Arabidopsis thaliana: one gene and its partner. The protein of the gene in region 1 purifies or fractionates together with the protein of each later gene. This does not show direct contact. Each region holds a gene or a part of one and is shown on either strand. Other genes may lie near its edges. The genes, in order: AGP31 and STRS2.

Region 1 (3,928 bases):
GTTTTGTAATGTAATGGAATCATCTTGAAAGCTGCTATTTTTATTCAAACGAAACTCAAACGACGTCACTTAAAGAGATACAACATAATACCCAAGCATTTAACTTAAAGACTAGCTAACATTGATTAAAATTCAACCGTACAGTAGACGCATAACAACACTCTCTCTCAATCTTTTTAAACATGAAACAATCAAGATAGTAACCAGAGCATCAAATCATCTTCATTTGGGGCAAGACGGGTTAAAGGCAAATGGACCAACGTTAAAGAGACCGTATACGAGCTTGTTGACGACCACCGTAGATTTTCCCAGCTTTTTCTCAGGCTTAAGTTCAGCGCCGACATCTCCACCGAAGAGCTTTGAGACTTTGCTGCATTTGTAGTCCTTTGATTTCACCAAATACACACGACATCCTCTGAAACCGAAGTTCGTCACCGTCTTAGGAGCCAACAACAAGAAGTATCCGTTCTTGTCTGTCGTCGTCTCCGCTGTTATGTTCTTCTTGCTCTTACACACTAGTTTCACCGTAGCACCTGCACAAACCCATAAAAAAATATTAGTCCGATATGTTTATAGAATAAAAGGATATAGTTATGTGTTTTTAATTATTTTTGTGGGAAGTAGTGAAATTTATTGGCCAGACTGTAAAAAACAGTGACTGATGAGTGCAGAAGTGTACATAGTCACTCTCTTTATTTCACACCTATTTTCGAAACATTGACTACTTACGTAACAAAGGTCCCACTTGTAACGTTTTCAAATTTGAATTATTTTCTGAAATATGCGTCATGATTAAGATATGAAGTACGTATTATTTTATAGATATATACACTGTTTGAATGCGTATGCAGAGCCAAGTTGAGTTGTTTGAGAGATTGTTACTGAGGTATGTCTCATGTATGAGTGAATAAACTGAATAATGAAGTGGAAGAAATAGTAGTAATTAACAAAGAAAATAGTTCAAACCTTCGATGGGTTTAGCGCCTAAGAGTGTGTTGAAAGCAGCGTACTTGCAGCTTTTGCAGTAAACCGTACCCCGAACGGCGACTAGACTACGGTTGAACTTAGGCGGGTAAACCGGCGGTGTAACAGGTGGCTTCGTCGGAGGAGAAACCGGAGGCTTAACCGGAGCTTTGGTAGGAGGGTAAACCGGGGGCTTAACTGGAGGTTTGGCTGGTGGGGAAACTGGTGGCTTGACCGGGGGTTTAGTTGGGGGCTTAACCGGGGCTTTGGTTGGAGGGTAAACTGGTGGCTTGACTGGGGGTTTAGTTGGGGGCTTAACCGGGGCTTTGGTTGGAGGGTAAACTGGTGGCTTGACTGGGGGTTTAGTTGGGGGCTTAACTGGAGCTTTGGTTGGAGGGTAAACTGGTGGCTTAACCGGAGGTTTGGCTGGTGGGGAAACAGGTGGCTTGACCGGGGGTTTAGTTGGGGGTTTCACCGGGGCTTTGGTGGGTGGGTAAACCGGGGGCTTAACCGGAGGTTTGGCTGGTGGAGACACTGGTGCCTTAACCGGGGGTTTAACAGGAGATTTGGCCGGTGGGTGGGGGTGAGGGTGAGGGTGAGGGTGGTGGTGATGAGGAGGGTGTGGGTGGTGGTGGCCGTGGTGGTAAGGAGCAGGAGCAGGAGCTAGAGAAGGGGTTTGAGTCTTATGGTTCACTTCTTCAGTGAAGACAGAGGAAGTGAAGCACCAAAGTGCTACGAGACTCACTAATACACTCTTACCAATGAAACCCATTTTTTGTTTTGTTTTTGGGTTAGTGATATGTTTTGAGATTATGAAATGGGTGTATATATAGGTGGAAGGTTCACGCTTCGAGTGTCATGAAATTACTCCCTTTTATTTGTAAATAGTAAATCAAAATCGATCGACATGAATTACCCCATTATTAGTTACTAGTACCATTTTGTGCCCAAAAAAAAAAAAAAAAAAAAAGTCACTAGTACCATTTTGTTACTCTCTTTTTTTTGTTACTCTTTTTTTCTTCTGATAGATATTCAAGATGGAAAACTTTAGTTATCCAACAACATTAAAATGGTCATTGTTTCCTACACATCTGAAAAAATGTGATATGCAAATTTTCTACTATTACGACCAAACAAAAGTCACATCCCTGGTGAACCAATGTTAAAAAGATCTTAACCCAATTTTACCAAAAAAAAAATCTTTACCCATCTAGTAAACATTTGTCGTCTAAAATATATAAAAAAGGACTAATAAGTGTAAGATCTTTTTTTTTTATGATAATAAAATTAGATTTAATATAAGTAAGATTTAGATCGCCTATTAATTAGTTGATGTGTGTTTAGATCGTCTAAGATATGTCAAGTTGGTGTATTTTTATCAAAAAAAAAAAACAATTTGTTGAATAATATAGTCACAAAAAAAAAAAAAAGATATATAGTCACACACAATAACTTTACTATTATCACTGGTGATCCATATAAAGTGAACATTAGTAAATACTTTAACAAAAGTAAGATATTGGGATACTATAAAATTTAGGAAATTGTTTTATAGCATGAGTAATAGTAATGTTGAATTTGAATTGTCATTATAATTTGTTTTGTGAACTTTTTGTTTTGACATTATATCAAAGAAAGCAATTTTGTTTTGAAATCCAAGCTAACATGCAAAAGTTTTTGATAATTTTTATCTATGTATTTAGAAAAATCATAAGTGATGGTAATAACAGGCATTAATTTTTTTTAAAGGAATTTAGTACCATAATTCACATATGAGATAGTAAAAAACTTTGATATAGTAGTCAGGCATCTGATTCGTGATTGTATACTATCGATGTTGATTGTAATCCGAAGTTATAAATTACCAAATCTGGTTTGCATAATTGATTGAATTTTTTTTGGATTATGTCAAACAATTTTGTTTTGAAAGTAGTATGTATAACATTTTGATTGGCATTTGTGACACAGGTTAAGCTACCATTCTATAAAAGTATTTCAACAATTGTCCTACTAAACATGTAGTATTCAATTATTTTCTATATACTAAGTAGAGAGTCGAAGTGACTTTGCCATTACTTATATGAAGAGCAAACAAAACTTTCATTTGATACATTGTGATTAATGGAACCACATTTATGTAAATCTGATGTGTTTTTTTCACTATTTTCTTATAATAGATCACTGAATGAGATCTTCGGGAGACTTTGAGCGTAATTGCTGCATTGAATAGCACATGTCGCTCAATTGCTTTAGAACATTTATTTTCATAATACGATTTAATGTTTTTTTTTGCTAAAAACAAGTAACATAATACATTAAAGTTTGGTCACGTAAGTCTAATATTCTTACACAAGTCAGCTGCTGATAACATACTAAATACATAAGACAACTCTATAATACAAAAATTACTCATCTCTTAACAAGCCAAATATATTCAAATTTGAATCCATCATTATTGAGATTACTGTTCTTCAAATAGTTAAACAAATTACGCTTAGATATTTTTCCTGTTGTTTGTCTGAATGTTTTTTTTGTTTTTTTCTGTGTAAAGATTAATTTTAAAACTTCTAAATCGATTCACGAGTAGGTCTTACCCCACCATTTCTACAATGATCAGTAATATTCACGAACTGGTAACTTAAATTATTACAGTTGTGGGAGAAATGTTTTTGTCCGGAGAGAGACATGTCATGTTACATTTTCGTGTTACCTGCAAAAGTATGGAAAAAAAATGATGGACCCAATATTGGACCCACCCACCCTATCAATTTTTTATTCTTCAAATAAAACCTATCTTTGGATGCTTTGGTCTAAACGTCTCACTAGAGATATAACACAATTATGGGCCATAATTGTTTAAATGTTTAAATCCGATAACGCGATGATGTATCATTACATTTACATAGTAGACTAATCATTCTTGTCGTTGGAATGATTCTCTTTGCTTTTACGTTTTACTGAATTT
Region 2 (3,928 bases), on another chromosome or scaffold:
ACTGTCACTTTCTAGTACAAAGGCTCTCATTTTTTGGGTTGGAATCTTGAACTGTGTTTTTTGGTGTCAAGGTCCGCCAAATATGCCATGTTGCTCTGAAACGGGATCATGAGTTCATCAATTGTGTCCAAGAGGGCTCTGGGGAGACACATCAAAAGGTAAAAGATTTCTCTTTAGCTTAATTTGAGTGAATGGCCTGCCATATGATTGGATGTTATCAGTTTCTTATGTTTGTTTTATCTCCAGGTCACACAAATGTACATGATTGCATCACTGGATAGACATTTTTCGCTTCTACATGTGCTTCTTAAAGAACACATCGCAGATAATGTGGACTATAAGGTAACATTATCTCTCTAGTGCCATTATGAATAACCAATGTCTGTATTTCTGAACTATCCCGATTTCGTTGCTGTTGTAGGTTATCATTTTCTGTACAACTGCTATGGTGACAAGATTGGTGGCTGATCTGCTTAGTCAGCTAAGCCTGAACGTCAGAGAGATCCATTCTAGAAAACCGCAGAGTTACAGAACCAGAGTTTCTGATGAGTTCCGCAAGTCCAAGGCTATTATCCTAGTCACATCTGATGTATCTGCTCGTGGTGTGGATTACCCTGATGTGTCATTGGTCGTACAGGTAACCATAGTTTTCTGACATGGAATTGTTCTGCGACTACAAATTTTATCTCTTTTGTTTAACTGAAGTTGTTTGCTTTTGCAGATGGGATTGCCATCAGACAGGGAGCAGTATATACATAGACTTGGCAGAACCGGGCGGAAAGGGAAGGAAGGGGAAGGAGTCTTATTGTTGGCACCATGGGAAGAGTACTTTATGTCATCTGTTAAAGACTTGCCCATCACCAAGTCTCCACTACCGCCAATAGACCCAGAGGCTGTGAAAAGGGTAAGCATTTTCATATAAGCGCACTCACATGAATTTGTGATTCTACTGAACTTGGCAAGCCTTTCTTAACTCATATTTGCTGGCAATCCAGAATGAGTAGGGAACTTGAAACTGAACCTGAATCTCATAACACAACTCTTTGAAGTTAAAAGCTATGATTTTTGAAGGGTGTGAGTATGAGTGAGTATTGCTGGGTATAATAAACTTGTTGAATTCAGGTGCAGAAAGGGCTGAGCCAAGTGGAAATGAAGAACAAGGAGGCGGCGTATCAGGCGTGGTTGGGTTACTACAAATCTCAGAAGATGATTGCAAGAGACACGACCAGACTGGTGGAGCTGGCCAATGAGTTTAGCCGCAGCATGGGACTTGACAGCCCACCAGCTATCCCCAAAAATGTTCTTGGCAAGATGGGTCTCAAAAACGTTCCTGGTCTTAGAACCAAGTAGATTTTCTTTTTTCCTAGTGATCTGCTTTGGTTTTAAAACTTTAATGTTTTGTAAGTGTAGACGTGTAGTCTCTTGTCATTCTTGCTACACTCTTAAGACTTCCTAACTAAAAAATCCTATAAAAGTTGCCTTCTTATAAAGGTCTTTTGTTTGTAATGGCTTGTTAACATGAGTATTTCGATTTTCACTAAAAAAACAAAAAAAGTATTAAGTTGGATTATACGTGTTTGAAGATTTAACAAAACTTTTTTCTGATATAAAACAACACGTTTCAAAGCAAAGGGAGCAACTACATGCCGTTTTGTATATTTGTTGACATTTTGGGCCACTCGCATCTGTACCCTTAAGCCCTAAATTGTGTTTCCTACAAAACCTTTTAAACCCTAAAATAACCGACGGCGGGAATTTGGTAGTTGCAGAGCCTTACAGTTAAAGGCATACGCTTCACCGTTCTCTTCCGTCTTTTCTCCACTCGTTGGCATGAATTCCGATGGACCCAAATCCGGTAAGAAGAGACGAGAGATTCGTGCTAAACTTGTGAAGAAGTTGACGAGTGACGAAGATGGCTCGGGAAAGCTAGTCAAGGACAACAATAAGAGTCTAAAGAGGGGAAGAGAAGGCAAATCTGATGTTGATGAGCCTCTTATTAAGAAACCAGCTTCTACTACGCCTCTAGTGACTCAAATTGCTAAAACTTCAGATTCTTATTTGTCAAAGACAAGGTACATTTTTTGCGTTTCTTTCGGAGATAGCTTCAGAGCTATTCTTAGTGGTGTTTGATTCAGATTTCTCTTTATGGTAAAATGGTTCTTACAGATTTGATCAGTTCCCACTGTCTCCCTTAACGTTAAAAGGAATTGAGGATGCTGGATTTAAGACAATGACTGTTGTTCAGGAGGCTACTCTTCCTCTCATTCTCCAAGGTGAACTTGCCTAAAAGGCAGAAACTTTTGCATCTTTCTTCATGATTCCTTATGTTTTGTCATGACTTAAACATTTTGAAGCTTGACTATTCCTCTATTAATTATTCTTCCTTGGTTTTCCAGGTAAAGATATCCTTGCGAAGGCCAAAACAGGCACTGGGAAAACAGTTGCATTTTTGGTGAGATACCCTTTTTGGGTTCATGTTGGTCATTTAGGATTACAATCAGTTTGATTAATTGGGGTTTGTTATTAATGTTGATGTTTCTTTTTCCAAGCTTCCATCAATTGAAGCTGTTATCAAAGCTCCTCCTGCAAGCCGTGATAATAGGCATCCCCCAATTATTGTGCTTGTGGTATGTCCTACTCGGGAACTTGCTTGTCAAGCTGCTGCAGAAGCAAACATCTTGCTCAAGTATCACCCATCTATTGGTGTTCAAGTTGTGATTGGAGGCACTAAGCTTCCTACGGAGCAAAGGCGCTTGCAAAAGAGTCCTTGCCAGGTAAATTTTCATTTGTATTAATATGTAAACTTATTTCTGAGCAAATCATGCATTTCCATTGAGCTGGACTTCTCAGATGAAACTTGTTATCTGACCAATAGAGTTGCATATATTTCTTTTCAAACTGAGTTGGTTATCCTTCGCTAGAACAATATGGACTCATGATTTGAATTTCTAAGAATATGAATTAAGATAGATTGTTTTTTAAAAAGAAATGGATTTCCCTGTCCAAGTTAGGATTGTTTTTCAGTCACAGGATATGTTCTTTGATCTAAGCCTCATTATGCATTTAGATTTTTTTGCATTATTTGTCTTCCCTGCAGTCAAAGTGGCTGCAGAGATGGTGATCTTTGTCTCTGTATATTTTTGAATAATAACATATTTTCACACTCTCAGATTCTCGTGGCTACACCCGGAAGGCTCAAAGACCATATCGACAACACTTCTGGATTTGCAACAAGGTTGATGGGTGTGAAAGTCCTTGTGCTTGATGAAGCTGATCATCTCTTGGACATGGGTTTCCGAAGGGAAATTGAGAGGATAATTGCTGCTGTTCCTAAGCAGAGACAAACATTTTTATTTTCCGCCACAGTATCTGATGAGGTAAGTGTCAGTTTCTTGCACAAAGGCTTTCACTTTTGGGTTGGAATCTTGAACTGTGTTTTTTTGCTATCAAGGTCCGCCAAATATGCCATGTTGCTCTGAAACGGGATCATGAATTCGTCAACTGTGTTCAAGAGGGTGCTGGGGAGACGCATCAAAAGGTAAAAGATTGCTTTTTAAGTTCATTTGAACCAATGGCCTGCCATATGATTGGATGCTAATGGTTTCTCATGTCTGTTTTATCTCCCAGGTTTCACAAATGTACATGATTGCATCATTAGATAGACATTTCTCGCTTCTATATGGTCTTCTGAAAAAACACATCACAGATAATGTGGGCTATAAGGTATATTGTTCCTCCAATGCCTTTGTTAATCACCACTGTAATTCTGGATTAACATGATCTCCTTGCTGTTGCAGGTTATTATTTTCTGTACAACTGCTATGGTTACAAGATTGGTGGCTGATCTGCTTGGTAAGCTAAGCCTTAACGTCAGAGAGATCCATTCTAGAAAACCGCAGAGTTACAGAACCAGAGTTTCTGATGAGTT

What was found.
Region 2: the proteins of AGP31 (region 1) and STRS2 fractionate together in Arabidopsis thaliana (co-fractionation; one large-scale study listed by BioGRID). This does not show direct contact.

Annotation. Positions count from the first base shown.
Region 1 is NC_003070.9:9,889,109-9,893,036, forward strand, and holds the start of AGP31 (arabinogalactan protein 31), read right to left. Parts: upstream 1,908-3,928; 5' UTR 1,736-1,907; coding exon 967-1,735; intron 534-966; coding exon 223-533; 3' UTR 1-222. UniProt on the Arabidopsis thaliana protein: Proteoglycan that may contribute to the strengthening of cell walls.
Region 2 is NC_003076.8:2,792,710-2,796,637, forward strand, and holds the start of STRS2 (DEA(D/H)-box RNA helicase family protein), read left to right. Parts: upstream 1-1,678; 5' UTR 1,679-1,830; coding exon 1,831-2,072; intron 2,073-2,166; coding exon 2,167-2,273; intron 2,274-2,396; coding exon 2,397-2,452; intron 2,453-2,549; coding exon 2,550-2,774; intron 2,775-3,170; coding exon 3,171-3,377; intron 3,378-3,451; coding exon 3,452-3,538; intron 3,539-3,627; coding exon 3,628-3,723; intron 3,724-3,797; coding exon 3,798-3,928. Other genes in the region: PDE340 (P-loop containing nucleoside triphosphate hydrolases superfamily protein), read left to right, coding at 72-158, 247-342, 422-637, 722-904, 1,123-1,350.